Sus scrofa: one gene and its partners. The protein of the gene in region 1 binds, or shares a complex with, the protein of each later gene. Links are inferred from orthologs where the notes say so. Each region holds a gene or a part of one and is shown on either strand. Other genes may lie near its edges.

The links. Proteins that work in one complex are often made in the same cells at the same time.
Region 2: the proteins of GNAS (region 1) and CCKAR are in contact, whole or in part, in a cryo-EM structure (PDB 7XOV), measured with the Homo sapiens proteins. The link is inferred for Sus scrofa from reciprocal best matches to the Homo sapiens genes GNAS and CCKAR. Residues at the interface, in NP_000507.1 of Homo sapiens: Gln31, Gln35, Arg38, Ala39, His41, Asp215, Val217, Phe219, Asp354, Gly355, Tyr358, Phe376, Cys379, Arg380, Ile383, Gln384, Arg385, His387, Leu388, Gln390, Tyr391, Glu392, Leu393, Leu394; in NP_000721.1 of Homo sapiens: Thr76, Glu138, Arg139, Ala142, Ile143, Cys144, Pro146, Leu147, Gln148, Ser149, Arg150, Val151, Gln153, Thr154, Lys155, Glu235, Leu236, Ser301, Ala303, Asn304, Ala307, Lys308, Arg310, Val311, Met314, Phe372, Met373, Asn374, Lys375, Arg376.
Region 3: the proteins of GNAS (region 1) and GPR65 are in contact, whole or in part, in a cryo-EM structure (PDB 9BHL), measured with the Homo sapiens proteins. The link is inferred for Sus scrofa from reciprocal best matches to the Homo sapiens genes GNAS and GPR65. Residues at the interface, in NP_000507.1 of Homo sapiens: Gln35, Arg38, His41, Val217, Tyr358, Tyr360, Phe376, Asp378, Arg380, Asp381, Ile383, Gln384, Arg385, His387, Leu388, Gln390, Tyr391, Glu392, Leu393, Leu394; in NP_003599.2 of Homo sapiens: Gln42, Glu48, Leu49, Leu53, Asp111, Arg112, Ala115, Val116, Pro119, Leu120, Lys121, Phe123, Arg126, Val206, Ala209, Val210, Asn213, Lys214, Ala215, Thr216, Glu220, Ile224, Leu227, Leu228, Tyr290, Cys291, Thr294, Glu295.

Annotation. Positions count from the first base shown.
Region 1 is NC_010459.5:59,047,102-59,051,685, reverse strand, and holds part of GNAS (guanine nucleotide-binding protein G(s) subunit alpha), read right to left. Parts: intron 3,749-4,584; coding exon 3,651-3,748; intron 745-3,650; coding exon 690-744; intron 555-689; coding exon 481-554; intron 363-480; coding exon 304-362; intron 193-303; coding exon 72-192; intron 1-71. UniProt on the Homo sapiens protein: Guanine nucleotide-binding proteins (G proteins) function as transducers in numerous signaling pathways controlled by G protein-coupled receptors (GPCRs).
Region 2 is NC_010450.4:20,197,190-20,202,389, forward strand, and holds the start of CCKAR (cholecystokinin receptor type A), read right to left. Parts: upstream 3,085-5,200; 5' UTR 1,942-3,084; coding exon of another isoform or gene 1,830-1,941; exon of another isoform or gene 1,425-1,829; 5' UTR 1,275-1,424; coding exon 875-1,274; intron 1-874. UniProt on the Homo sapiens protein: Receptor for cholecystokinin. Mediates pancreatic growth and enzyme secretion, smooth muscle contraction of the gall bladder and stomach. Has a 1000-fold higher affinity for CCK rather than for gastrin.
Region 3 is NC_010449.5:109,976,798-109,981,996, reverse strand, and holds the start of GPR65 (psychosine receptor), read right to left. Parts: upstream 3,085-5,199; 5' UTR 2,990-3,084; intron 1-2,989. UniProt on the Homo sapiens protein: Proton-sensing G-protein coupled receptor activated by extracellular pH, which is required to monitor pH changes and generate adaptive reactions. Activated by an optimal pH of 7.4.

The sequences.
Region 1 (4,584 bases):
CTTCCCCTGCACCATGCAGATCCAGGGCCTCGAGCTCCGTGGGGAGGACGCCGGGGGGTCACCGCACAAACCTGTTGTTCCAGATGCTCTTGAAGAGGTTCAGGGCCTCCTGCAGGCGGTTGGTCTGGTTGTCCTCCCGAATGACCATGTTGTAGCTGCTGCTGGCGACCACGAAAATGATGGCGGTCACATCTTCGGCACAAGAGAGAAAGAGGATGCAGTGTTAGGAGTGACCATGAGCCTGAACCATCGGGGGCGGGGGGAAATAGCCTTAAAGAGTGGAGAAGCCCAGGGCTTCCATACCATTGAAGCATTGGATCCATTTGCGGCGCTCGTCACGCTGGCCACCGACGTCAAACATGCTGCAGGAGAGAGAGGACGCCTGGTCACCACAAGGGCTACCATGGTCCACCATGCTCACTGCGGGGGGACCTCGAGAAACCTATTTTTCTTTCTAAAAAAAAGGAACCGTTTACTTACTGGAAGTTGACTTTGTCCACCTGGAACTTGGTCTCAAAGATTCCAGAAGTCAGGACGCGGCAGCGGAGCAGGTCCTAAAACAAAGTCTCAGATTAAGCGGTCTCACCAAAACCAACCCAAGTGTTAATCATTGCCAACCTGGAGCAAAAATGCTGACTGGCTTGGAAAGAAGACTCTGCATCCTCTGCCCTGTGAGAAGGGGTGCATACCTGGTCGCTGGGCACGTAGTCAGCCTGCTTGATGACGTCAATCTTGTCCAGGAAGCTGGGAGCAGAAGAAAGACACACGGGGGTGACCACACGTTCAGGCCAATTTGCCCACTATTCCTGCCCAGCCACAAGGTCCAGCTAAGCGAAAACGACCATCCCATGAAGTTCATTAGGGTCAAGCGGATGCCTTACAAAGGTTCGCGCAAATAGGATTTAAGATAAATCAGGACCCCTGGCCTACAGGTACAGCACAGGCCAGTTGGGGGGGGGGGATCTGATCTGGTTTTAATTTGAAAAGACTCGCTCTGTGCAAATCCATCCGCCCAGGGCCCCAAATCAGGCCTGACTGTGTGCCATTGGGTAATGCCTGAGTAAAACAGTACACCCTCAGATTGTTTGGCTTTGACTAAAACGGCAAGTCGTTTGAAAACTGTACACTTCCATGTCAGGGAGTTTTTGAAAAAATGAAGAAAAAAAAAAGGGCACGCTTAAAAGAAGCAAGGATTTTTTTCGCCCAAAGGACGAATGAAGATGAGATTGCTGGATTAACTCAGAAAGGGTATCTCTCCTTTTAGGAAGTGGCCCTCTCGGCCCGCACCGCACCGAACAGGAAACAGACACCAGTTCCCTTCCGTCCTGCTTGGTCCGTGAAGCAGACCAGCCCAGAGAGGAAGCTTTCAAAGCACCTCACCGCCATCCAGGTTTGGGGCCCCAGGCAGGCAGGGGGCGCGCACCGTGGCGGCGCGGGGTCTGGGGGTCTCAGGGGTGAGAAGGCTGTCTAGGGGTGAGAATGCTTCCTCCCTCCCAGAGTCGGGAGGCTCTTTGCTTGGGTTGCCCGACTGGACACACTGTTAGGAAAAATAACTTTTAAAAGACTGGACTGAGGTAATTACCATGGAAAGTTAATGTGGAAACCAGCTTTTGGGGGGGGGGGAAGGGGGGATGGGAGGTGTTGGAAAGTGAGCTAATCAGAGAAGAAAATCAAAGCGAGAAAAATTTAAAGAAATTCTATAAGGTGGTGCCCCCCCCCCTTTCCTTTTCACCAGTTTAAAGTGAGTCTGGCTTCGAGGATACACTAACTTGCCCAATCAGGCTTACATTACAGCACCAGGCCAGAAATAGCTCCCCAGCCGCCCTGGCCTCCAGCACGTTGCCATGGCAACCGAACCACAGGTCTATAAATAGCTCATCAGCACCAAATCTTGTGAGAGAGACATCTGGAGGGGGGCCAGCCAAAGCCCAGCTCAACAAATAAAAACAGGCACCTTAAGGAACGGGCACGTCCCCAGGACCTCGGCCGTAACCTAAAGGCAGTTACGCCAGAAACAGGCGGGCTACGAAGAAGGCAGGGCTGCTGGAGGCGGCTGGCCGGGGAAGGAGACATTTTAAAAGGGTCAAGCTCTGTTCTCTTTTTCTCGGAGTTTCCTTAAAACTTTCCATAAACTGTGCACATGCTGCCATTTGCAGATAAAGTTGCAGGCATGCGTGGATAGGGCTTTCGAAAAACTTTTAAAAAAAACTTTTGAAATGGTGTGCGATTTAAAAAAAAAAGAAAAAAAAAAAAAAGAAAGCTGGCTAAACTGAATTAATGAAGTTGTTACACCCCGCCCCGCCCCCCCAGGGCTCTTAAGAATGGGGTGGTCAAAGCTGCCTAATCCTGTACCTGTGCTTCTGACTTGGATCCAGAAAACAAAAGGCAAACAATTCCAGGATTTCCATGTGTTTTGTGTTACTATAATTAGCACTTCCAGCTTTAAGCTCAAACTTTTGAGAAAATCAGGGACTTTGTTGAAGAAGGGGTGGGGGTGGGGGTCACGGCGACCGGCCCAGATGGACTGTTTCTCTGTTCCTTGAAAAAATATACAAGTTTGCTTGCGTGTTAAGTCACAAAATAGCTGTAGGGGTGACAAGTGAAAAGCATCGAGTGCCCTTGCTGTGGGAAAGCAGGGCCGGTGAAGGGACGTGGACAGCTTTCGCAGACCCCAAGAGGAGCTCGGGTGCTGTGCAGATGACGGGGTTCTGGGGAGCTGGCTTTGTGTGGCCCCAAGTTCCTCAGGCGCGGGGCTCCTGGGTAATGCACGATTTTAGCTTTTGGCGAGCCAGCCTCGTCCCTGGGTCCTGATTACTGAACATTTTCCAAAGCAAATTGTTGGCGTTTCAGTTACTTACACGAGGGGCTGACACAGGATTATCGTATTGTCAGAAAAGACAGTCCAACTTGAGAGCACGTTGCCTGAGACCGCTTGGTACATGTGTGCGACACGAGCAAACAGAGGGTCTCTTTGAGATATTTTTCACGGCTCTGAAGGCCATGTGTCTACCGCACGATGCACAGGGTAAGACAGGTGGTCAAGCTGTCTTAAAGGCAGCCTCCCGGCTGGGCGTCATCAGGCCCACTGCAAGAGAGCCTTGAAGGGACAGGAGGACAGGGCAAGGACCCCTTGGCAGGGGAGGCCCCTTGAATGAGGAACAAGGACAAGAAATGGCATCCAACATGGTGCCCACGCGAGATGAACCCTGGCAGCTGCTGTGGTCCCTTACGGGCGGTGGGGAGGTTGGGGCGGGGGCAGCACATGTCTGTCCTCACCATTCCTCTTTGGCACGTTTTTCAGTTGCGGTAAATACAATACAAAATTGCCACATTATCCGAAGTGTGAGAGCTGTCCCACCTCTCTAAATGCTTGCAGGTCAACTCAATTAATTACTTTGAGCTAATTAACGACGACCATGGCTTTATGGCAGGTGATTATCACTTTGCTCTGCCAGGCATTAAGTGTTTATATAAAATAACGTAGCTGCACTAAAACGTGCCATGAAGGCCCCTAGAAGATAAATGCATCAGACTAGAACCTTCTCAAGGCAGGTGAGACTACCTGGCTGGCTGCTAAGAAAGTACCTTGGGGCGGTGGGAGTGGAGGTGTGGGGTGTGCCCCGCGGGGCTCGGGCGGGGAGGGCACTTACTACTGGGCGCAGTCGATGAGCTGGTACTCGTTGGAGCGCTCGTAGCAGGCGCGCACGCCCTCGTCCTCCCACAGAGCCTTGGCATGCTCGTAGAACTCCTGCAGGGAGGGCCAGGGAGAGGGGTTGGAGGGGGCTGCAGGGCGCCCGGGAGACCCACCCCAAGGGCCGGTCCCCATGTCCAGGCAGCTTTAGGCAGGAGCGTTCCTACAGGACGTCGGCGGGCTCAAGGGCCCCCCCGAGTCCAGAATTACTGCTCCCGGGTTGTCATCAGCCTGTGCGTCGGGGGCCTGGGGGGGAGAGGCCGGACTGGGCCGCCCAGGAACTGGGTTTCTTCAGAGTCGCTTCTACGGGAGGGTGTGAGCTGGTCAGGAGGCTCTGGGTGGGGGGACAGGACATGTCTTTGTGATGAGGTTGTGGGGCACGTTTTCTCAGCTTTGGCCAAAACTATGACGGTCGGGAGCTGCTGGCCAGTCTGCCCTGTGCTTCTGGGGACGGTCTGCCAGGAAGAAGCCAAGGGCCAGCGACCTCTGCGTTGTTCTCAACGGCAGTAGGTCACAGGTCACAGGTCACATCACGTGGGGGCACGCTCCCCTTTACAAGGAAAGAGAAGGTCTCTCTCCAGTGTGAATTCAGAGGGAGAAAGATCAAAAGCGTGTGCAGCTCGGTGGCCGGAGGACCAACCAGCCGGCATGTCGCTGTCCCCTGCCTTTCTAACAGGCTGCCTTCTTTCTCCTCGTCTCAGAAACACAAGTCCAGCCTTGGCGTTACGTGTGCTGGGTTTACCAGGTGAAGGTTTTTCTATCTTGAAAATGTCACCTGGCCATCCCACTAACACTGCTTCCTCACTAGCAGCGGTTTGCAGCCAAACCCATTTAAAATACACAAACACACATTCCCACGAAAGCCTGACCCATGGCAACAATACGCCATTGTT
Region 2 (5,200 bases), on another chromosome or scaffold:
CCCTTCTCAATGAGACAAGAATGATTAACTGTATATGCTGCATAGGGTGTTGGGAGATAAAATATGATCCTGGAAGTAAAATCTTAAAGCAATTAGTAGGACAGCTGGTACTCAAAAAAAAAAAAAAGTACTCAAAAATGTTAACTCTTGCGATGGTTCTTATCATCACTGTCATTTTGAAGGGCAAAGGCAGAGAGCTGTGTATCTCAACAAATCAGGGTCAGGTCAGCCTAGTGACCCACAGGCTCCGGGAGCAAATTCAACTCCCAGCCTAGTGGCAGAGCGTGCTCTCTCTCTCTCTCTCTCTCTCTCTCGATGATCCCTGCTCCTAGGAAAACAGGCTGGGAAGTGGATCTTGAGAAGGGAATCCAACCTCTGATGATGACACTGATTCTCAAATAGCCCCAGTTCCCTAGGACAGTCCGAGCACCAGCAGGAAGAGCTGCTCTTCCAGCCCCCCTGGCCACCCCAACAGCCACACCTCAAGGTGGGTAGAGCTCAGAGTACAATCAACACCTTCCAGGAATGGACAGAGCAGCTGGAACCTGTCTTTCTAACAGCAGCAAGGAAAGCCATCTCCTCTGTGGCTTCTCACCAACTTATTCCCACGCTGAGACTCAGACCTCTGAAACGGGGGACTGACTTTGGGGGAGATGGGAGGCCTGATCCTCACAAAGCCAGCTCCTCTGTTCTTACTCATAGCCCCACACAACCGGGTGTTTAGGGTTTTTTTTTTTTTTTTTAACCTTAGGGAATTTTTTTTTTTTTAAACCTCAGCAGGGCTCCTGCCCTGAGGCTGTCAGGGGTTTGGGAACGTCTGGGGCCGCATGGGGTCTTGGGGGAGCTCCAGGACTCGTCACCAGCAGCTACTCACCCATGAAGTAGGTGGTGATCTTGCAGACGGCACTCCCAAAGATGAAGTCCTTGAGCAGGTTGGGGATGAGGTTGAACGGCATGCAGACGAGGCAGAGCAGGAGGTCGCTGACGGCCAGGGAGAGCAGGAAGATGTTGGTGACGGTCCTCATCCTCTTGTTCCGAATCAGCACAGTAATGACCAGCGTGTTCCCCAGGATGCTGAGCAGGAATATCACCGAGTACAGGAGAATCTGCACGGCCGGCTGCCACTCTGCCGCGACCGGCACCGACGAGCCGGAGGGAAGGAGGTTGTGGGAGCAGGATGTTAAAACCTGAGCCCACCAAGCAAACGTATGTCCTGCCGATTTTGGGGGGTGGGGGGTTGCAGGGCGTACATCATGGAACCCAGCTCTCCCCATACTTACACTATTTTGCAGAAACAAAGTGAGGAGAGCACAGAGCGATGTCGTCGAGGCTTAAATGGTTGGTCTGTTAAAGGATCCCTCGGGGAACCACTTTTTCTTAAGAACAGTGCTCCTCCAGTGAATCAGGATTGCTCTCTTCCCTAGCTGCTAAGCAGTTTTCGCTTTAATCGCTTCTTCACACTGATTTTCCCCGAGAAAAGGCCACAGCTGGATTGTGACAGCGCCTTTTCTGTGATGCTTGTAAGTCCAAGCTTCGACACTTGTCCTCCCTTCTGGCCACCCTTCAGCTCCTCCTCCTACCCCTTTTGTGCCCCCAAGTTCTATCCATGAATCCCAGCTCTCCCGTGGGGGAACAATAAGAGCCCTGAACTCGATCCTGCTTTTTGACCTCTTATCCAAACTTCTGAGCAGGTGACTTTATCCAGCCTGGCCTCACGAGGACCTGGTTCTATTTTGCTCAATCAGCCTTGCCGTTACGGATGTCTCCCCCACCCCCACCACCCCAACTGAATAGTTTTCTGCATAAAAAGAATGGTCTCTGCCACCTACCTTGGGAAGGATGGGGCTGATCCAAACAGAAAAGCGTCTCATTTTCGATCCCCAGTTCGCAGGGGGGAGTGATGTTGCTTCCATTCATAAGAAGGCTGTGGACCACATCCATCCTTGCCTGCTGCTTTCCCCCAAGTGCTGGCGAGCTGGTGAACGGCTCCTGCTCGGCTCATTCCTCTAAAGACGGACTGCAGAGTCTCCCAAGTGCAACCTGCCCTGCGGGGCAGGGAGGTGGGGCAGTGAATTCCAGGTGCGGGCTTCTGCAGCCATTCTTAAAGGGACTGGAGTTCAGCACACTCAGTCCGGCTGGGCAAGCATGTGCACTCCTGTCTTGGAAAGAGCAGCTGATGTGAGCCAAGCCCACTCCACCTTCCAGGCCCACCCCATTCCTGGGCCAGCGCAGGGCCCTGAGCGCAGCCAGCCTTCCTGTGAGTTAACCCTTCCTGGAGTGATCGCTGCGTTGACACTCGCGTGCACACGTGCGTGGACAGACACATGCATGGGCACAGACGCACATGCTTCCCCGGTACCTCTCTTCTCTGTATAGGAACCTGTCACCATCCCAGACACAAGCAGAAGAAAGCCCGCCGTGGCTGTGTGAGGCAGGAACAATTAACAATTAACAGATACCATAATACAGAGCATCAGGACCTAAGGAGATGGAGTTTCTACCTCCTTATATAAAAGCAATTAGTGCCTTTTTAGCTTTGGAACGATGCCCAGCAATGTGTGTGGATATAACTGCTGGCTGGTTGTTAAGTTGTTACCAACCAGGGGGTGATTTCTTGTGGTCTCTGCCCTTGTTAACTGAAGCCAGGGGGTGCTTTGGCTCTAGGTGCCTGGATCCTTGTTACAGAAGCACTTAGGAAGATGTTTCATGCTTTCATTTATTCATGCGTCCATTCATTCACCCGTGTTCATAAGAGTCAGCTGTTTGCCAGGTACTTTTTTAAACACATAAGCAAATAATGAATAGGATATTTCAAATGTGTGAAGCACCCCCAAAGAAATAAAGCAGGATGGAGTAAAGGAGAGGGATGGATGGGGGTGGTTAATTTATACGTGGTATCAGGAAGGGCCTCCCGCAGGAGGGGGCCATGATCAGAGAGCTGGGTGACCAGGAGGAGGAAGGCTTTGGTGATCTGGGGAAAACTGCTGCCAGTCTTTTTGGCAGAGGTGATGGCACGAGCAAAGGCCCTGAGGTGGGAATGAACTTGGCCTTTTGAGGAACAGTTAGATGTAGGAATGAGTAAGGGTGGACTGTGGGAGGTGAGATTGCGGGGGGCGGGGGGGGGCGGCGACCAAGGGCTCTGGCTTTTCTGTGAGGCTTTGTGCTGTTGTCAAACTGCTCCGACCCCATCATACACTTGGTCTCCCCTTTGGGAAAGCAGAGGACAGCAGAGGGCGCTGTGTTTCTCACATGCCGCCAGGCCCAGCAGAGACCTGGACTGGACACACAGCGCTCTCAGTTGACAGGGCAGCTTGTTTTATATTTGCTGGATCCCTGGCCGGCACAGATGAACTAAGGGGCATGTTTACTGCCCAGGCTCAGGATGTGGGGCTGGGAAGAGAGGGGTACCTCTTGTCTTTGAAATCACGAACAACTCATGTGGGAGGCCCTTAGTCATGGGAATTAGAAATGGAGAAGCTCTCAGTAATTCTTAAGAGGACAGGTTCTGGCAACAGACCCGGGATCAAATCCTGGCTTCACTGGTTACTTGCTGGGAAATACTGGGTGGGTTTCTTTCTTTTTCTTTCTTGTCTGTCTGTCTTTTTTTTTTTTTTTTTTTTTTTTTTGCTTTGCTTTTTCTTTCTTTCTTTCTTGTTTGTTTTTGTTTTTGTTTTTTTGCTTTTCAGGGTGGCTCCTGTGACATATGGAGGTTCTGTGGCCGCCATCCTATGCCACAGCCATAGCATTGCAGGATCTGAGCCGCATCTGCGACCTACACCACAGCTCATGGCAACACCGGATGCTTAACCCACTGAGCGGGGCCAGGGATGGAACCCGCATCTTTGTGGCTACCAGTAGGGTTCGTTTCCTCTGTGCTGCGACAGGAACTCCTGGGCAGGTTTCCTACCTAAGACTCTTTTCCTTCTTTTGTCAAGTGGGGATCAAAATGACCTCATGGATGTTTGTGATAAAGAATCACTGATCGCCTCGAAACAGAGAAAGTGTTCAATAAATCACAGACAATAAAAACTATGACTGATACGGACCCTGCCCACCAGGAGGGGACCCAGTGCGGGACTGTTCTGATTTGAGGAGGGATGCACATTCAGGGTCTGAGCTGTGGGTACAGCTAAATTTCACAGCACGGCTGATCCCAGGAGCCCGCTGCTTCAGCTGCTTTCACGGAGCTGACATCACCAGCCACAGAGGGCGCTTCCTGTTCGGGCACCGTGGCTGCTGCTTCAGCCACTGCACAGAGCCTGCTGCTGCGGGTCCAAGAGCAAAAGAGCAGGGGGCTCCCTCTCAGCCCACCCTGAGCTGAAATGGAGCCCACTTTGGAGCAAGTTCCTTCCTTCCCCCCTCCTGCCTCCTTTTCCCCTCCCTTCCTTTCCATTCCATTCTGTTCATCACTTGGCAGGAAGCAAGGGTGGAGTGGAGGAGGGTTTTGTAAACTCACCAAGAGTAAGTGTGGCCCATTGGAATGCTGCCATGCAAATTACAAACTTCAGGGCAAATCTGAATCACCCAGGGTAGGGGTTCAAAAATGGGGATTCCTATACAATGAAATACTACTCAGCCATAAAAAAGGACAAAATAATGCCATTTGCAGCAACATAGATGCAATTAGAGATTCTCATACTACGTGAAGTAAGTCAGAAAGAGAAAGACAAATGCCATATGCTATCACTTATATGTGGAATCTAAATTATGGCACAAATGATCCCATCTATAAAACAGAAACAGATCGTGGGCATGAAGAACAGACTTGTGTTTGCCAGGGGGACGGGGAGAGAAGGGCATGGACAGGGAGTTTGGGGTTAGGAGATGCAAACTCTTACATTTAAAGTAGCTGAGCAATGAGATCCTATTGCCCAGCACAGGGAACTGTGTACAGTCTCAGGTTAAAACATGATGGAAGATTGTATTAAAAAAAGAAAAAATATATATGTATGGCTGGGTCACTCTGCTGTACAGCAACAACTGAAGGAACATTGTAAATCAGCTATACTTTAAACAAATAAATAAATAATTTACCCCAAACTGGAATTTAAAAAAATGAGGATTCCCAGGCTCCCCTCCTAGGGATTCTTTTTTTTTTTTTCTTTTTAGGGCCACACCTGCAGCATATGGAGGTTCCCAGGCTAGGGGTTGAATCAGCTCTGCAGCTGGAGTCCATGCCACAGCCACAGCAATGCAGGAT
Region 3 (5,199 bases), on another chromosome or scaffold:
GCTCCAATTTGACCCCTAGCCTGGGAACCTCCATATACTGTGAGTGCGGCCCTAAATTAAAATAAAATAAAAAAAAAAGAAGAAAGAAGAAGAAATCTGAACATATGAGTAAGGAGCAAGAGATTATAAAAGATGACTGGGCATATTTTTAAAAAGTCAGAAATAGACTTTTTAGAAACAAAAAAAAATACAATAATTTAAAATTTAAAATCAACATGGAGACTAAATAACTAATTAGTTCCAGCTGAGGAGAGAATTAATACATTGAAAGTAGAGCTAAAGAAATAACACAAAATTGGGGAGTTCCCATTGTGGCTCAGTGGTTAATGAATCTGACTAGGAACCATGAGGTTGCAGGTTCGATCCTTGGCCTTGCTCAGTGGGTTAAGGATTCAGGGTTGCCGTGAGCTGTGGTGTAGGTTGCAGATGTGGCTCGGATCTGGCGTTGCTGTGGCTATGGAGTAGCCTGGCAGCTTTAACTCCGATTGGACCCCTAGCCTGGGAACCTTCATATGCTGCGGGTGCAGCCCTGGAAAGGACAAAAAGACAAAAAAAGAAAAGAAAAAAAAAGAAAAGAAAAGAAATAACACAAAATTATCAATATTAAAGAGATAGAAAAATACCACAGACATGGAGGATAAAGTGAAAAGGTCTGCATACTTATAATGAAATTCCATAAGGACAGAAAAAAGTCGGAGTGGGGCAATATTTGAAAAGATGCTGACCAAGAAATGTGTAGACGTGACAAAGGACATGGCATCCTTAGATTCATGAAGCTCAGCAAATCCTAAATAAAATTAAAAACAAACAAACAGATGGAAATCTAGACTTAGACTTGTTGTGGTCAAGCTGCACATCACCCACCCACCACTGCAGAAACAAGTGCCAGAGAGATAAAAACGGACTACCGACAGACAGGATGAAATTTTGACCAACAGAGAACTTTCCAATAGCAATAATAACAGAAACAGAAGACAGTGGATTGATATTACAAATTGCCATGAATATATCATCCCATAATTGTGTACCCAATAGAACTAAATTTCAAAATGAAAGCACAAGCCAAAGAACACTGACCCCCAAAATCCTCAGTAGAGAGACCTCTAAAGAATATAAATGAAGAAGGAAAATGACATTAGGGAAATATCTGAGATGCATGAAGAATTGAATAAGCTACTGAGGATGAAACTCTGAGGGTTGCATGATATCACATCCATTATTAGGCTCATGTGTCTGGGGGAGAACACTTAAACCATGAAAATGTTCTTTAGAAGCAGGACTGGGGGGAGTTCCCGTCGTGGCGCAGTGGTTAACGAATCCGACTAGGAATCATGAAGTTTCGGGTTCCGTCCCTGGCCTTGCTCAGTGGGTTAACGATCCGGCGTTGCCGTGAGCTGTGGTGTAGGTTGCAGACGCGGCTCGGATCCTGCGTTGCTGTGGCTCTGGAGGCCGGTGGCTACAGCTCCAATTCAACCCCTAGCCTGGGAACCTCCATATGCCGTGGGAGCGGCCCAAGAAATAGCAACAACAACAACAACAAAAGACAAAAAAAATAAAAAAAGAAGCAGGACTGGGAGAGCAGGGGGATGGGCAGGAAGGTACCCCTTCCTCCTTTTTCCATGTTACTTAACAAATATACATCTTTTTTTTTTTTTTCAAAGATGAGATGAGATGGATAATATGGAAAAATTAGTCTTAGAAGGATTTACAAAATTCTCAATGGACCAAAATTTCTTTCTCTATAGAAATACTTCCTGCCTTAACTAAAACAACCATAAGATGGAACAGTTTAATGAAACAGATACAGGATATTTTCTGGGTTGGGCAGCAGAAGCAGTGCCTACGGAGGCTTGTGGTTACCTGTGTGAGCTCAGGAAACTCAAAGCTCTCAACAGCCCATGGGGTTTTGTGACCATGTGTGTTTCTCCATCTCTTATTAAAGTTTCAGTTTTCACAGATATAAGACAGCAACCACTGCATAGAATTCTTGTAGGGGTTAAATGAGATGATGCATGAAGCTGAGTGCCAAGCACACGGCAAGACTTCAACACACATTAACTGATACTGCTTTAATGACAACACCGGTAGTCTGCTGTCCCCTACATTTCCTGATAGGAGATCATCTTTGGCCACCTATCCAGAGAATAGCAGAGAAGCCAGTCAGACAGAGTATAATTTTTACAGCAACATTTCACATAGGATACTGAACTCTACAGATAAAGAGTTTTAAATTAATTTGTGTGAATCTGAGATTTTAATGGGACATAACTCTTATTATTCATAAGATATTATCTTGACTACTTTAATCACATTTTGAGAAATCTGTTTTTAGAACCAGTGTTGAGAAATTTAGATACTTTTTTTATTCTGATTTTAATTTTTACCTAATGCCTAAAGAAGATAATCTACAGCTCTTAAAATAGTACAATCCATAGATGACAATGATCAGAAGAAAAGAAGGGTTATAGGAAATACTTGCCTTCATGTATCAGTTAAAAGCTGCTTATTAAGACTCTACTATGTGTCAGACACTGTGATAATCACCTATTAAGAATTATTAGTAAATACTTATTAGTATGGGAAATATTATTCTCAAATTTCACATTATTCCTAATTGTATTTAAAGAAATATCACTAGAGCATTGTGTGATAGTTCTATAACCAGGAGCTGGTACATTTCTCCCCAACCACTTAATTCAGTTTGCCATCATACTGTTTCCTGAAGAGGAAATAAAGTGAGCATAAACTTTCCTCTTTTGTCATTTGATAGTTTTACCTAACTATTTCTAAACCTACATTTTGACATCCTTCACTACTGCTCAAAGCAGAGAAACCATGTGTCATCCTTATTTCTCCTTGTCTTATAACAGTTTTTATCACCACATCCATACAGCCCCAACTAGATAATGTGTTGCAAATATTACTGAGAATCATTCAAAAGTCTGTTACCTACTTAGCATCTTAGTTTATTTTTTAGTCTTACACTTACCCATGTTTCTTGAGATGACGATTTTGTCAACCGAGGAGCCAGATAAATCTGCTTGTACCCAGAAGAGAAACCAACATTGTTGAGGGGACAGGAAATTGCACTCATATTTCATCACAAACCAATGAGGAAGCAGCTTCTTAATGAGAAGGATGCACATTATCCATATTTGAGCAACAGAAGTCTCCTAAATGTTTTAAAAGGTGCTTTATTATTGAATGTAGTATAATTTTTATAACTCACATTTCTCTTTGCATCTTAATTACACCTGTATGCTAATATTTATTTAAGGATTTATTTAAGTACGTTTCCTCTTTATTTAAGAGAAAATATATCTAGAACTTCATTCATTCATTCATTCACTCTCTCCTTCCTTCCCTTCTCTGTTACCACATATATCTACCATCCTCTTAGGGTGCTGTGCTGGGAAATATTTAGGACCCATCTGCAACCCACAGGAAGCTTATCACTGAGTGAAGGGAAAGCAATAAAAAACATAATACAGTGGTAAAAATGGATAAGTTCTCCAAGAGAGGTCCAAAAAGAGAGAATGAATCCTTGGATGTGTGAGACGGAAGAGGATGCTGTCGATGGGGTTGGGGTGATCAACATCCTGGGAGAAAAACCAGCAGGGGGAGAGGAGGGGTTTGGGTGTATCAAGAGCATGTTCATTGCTTAAAGACCGACCGTGATGGCGGGGCCAAGGTAGCCAACGTGGTAAAGTTTTTTTTTTCTTTTTAAAAGGACCAATGGGATCAGCTATAAAGTATTTTATTTTAGAGCCATTTTTCTCCTTTGATTTTCCTCTTGGAATGGAAGATTCCATCAGACATTGCTACACGTGCTAAAACTCATTGAACAAACTGGCTTAGGCAAATCCATAATTTTATGAAACTTAAAAATTTGAGAAAGACATGGGTTTGACAAATCTGGAAGTGATTTTATATGAAGTGAAATAACTTCCAGAATTTTGAGATATAAAAAAGTCTGAGACATTGCTTTTGAATTTTGTCTTCATAAGCTTTAATTAAAAATGAAGGGGAAACTTGTATTCTACAAGGATGGAATTAATTTGGGATGGAAAAATTTAACCTAATTAAAAAAAAACTGAAGGGAGTTCCCATCGTGGCTCAGTGGTTGACAAATCCGACTAGGAACCATGAGGTTGCAGGTTCGATCCCTGGCCTTGCTCAGTGGGTTAAGGATCCGGCATTGCTGTGAGCTGTGGTGTAGGTTGCAGACGTGGCTCGGATCCCGTATTGCTGTGGCTCTGGTGGAGGCCGGCGGCTGCAGCTCTGATTCGACCCCTAGCCTGGGAACCTCCATATGCCGCGGGAGTGGCCCAAGAAACGGCAAAAAAAAAAAAAAAAAAAAAAAAAAAAAAAGACAAAAAACCCCAAAACTGAAATCATGGCAACTTGAGTCTGTTTTTGTAGAAGAACATTAGATATTCCTATTGGTAGGTTTGTAAATATTTCTCACCAGAGTTGGAAAAGATCTTGTAATAAAAGCAAGACTTCTGACCTTGAGGTTTCCAGGATATGACAGGAATGTAACAGGTTTCTTATACTTCCTTTGTAGATCTTTCATTGAAAATAATACAAGTAATGGTTTATTTATTTATTTTTTAGGGCCACACCTGTGGCATATGGAAGTTCCCATGCTAGGGGTCGAATCCGAGCTGTCGCTGCCAGCCTACACGACAGCCACAGCAACACAGGATCCAGGCCACCTCTGAGACCTACACCTCAGCGCATAGCAATGCTGGATCCTTAACCTACTGAGCAGGGCTGGGGATTCAACCCTCATCCTCATGGATACTAGTTGGGTTTGTTACTGCTGAGCCACAGCAGGAACTCCTAAAAGTAATTATATAGATTTATAAAGTACATTTGCAAGGTAATTTAATATATGGTACCTTAAAAATTCAGAATACTTTCTATTTTTACTGAAATAATGAAAAATTTAAGTAGAAAATGAACAATAAGAACTTTAAGCTTTTACAAAAATTAAAACAATGATTTTCGTTTACTCCCAACTCCTCCAAAATGCTCCGTTTTGCTTGGTTTTGCACATCCATTTATCTGTGGCTTCTACACATGGGTATCCTACAACACAATTTCTCATTTTACCTAAAGAGACTATACATCTGCTTTTAGGGAAATGATATTTTCACATCCACATCAGATAGATACTTATGTATTTTGCTCTTT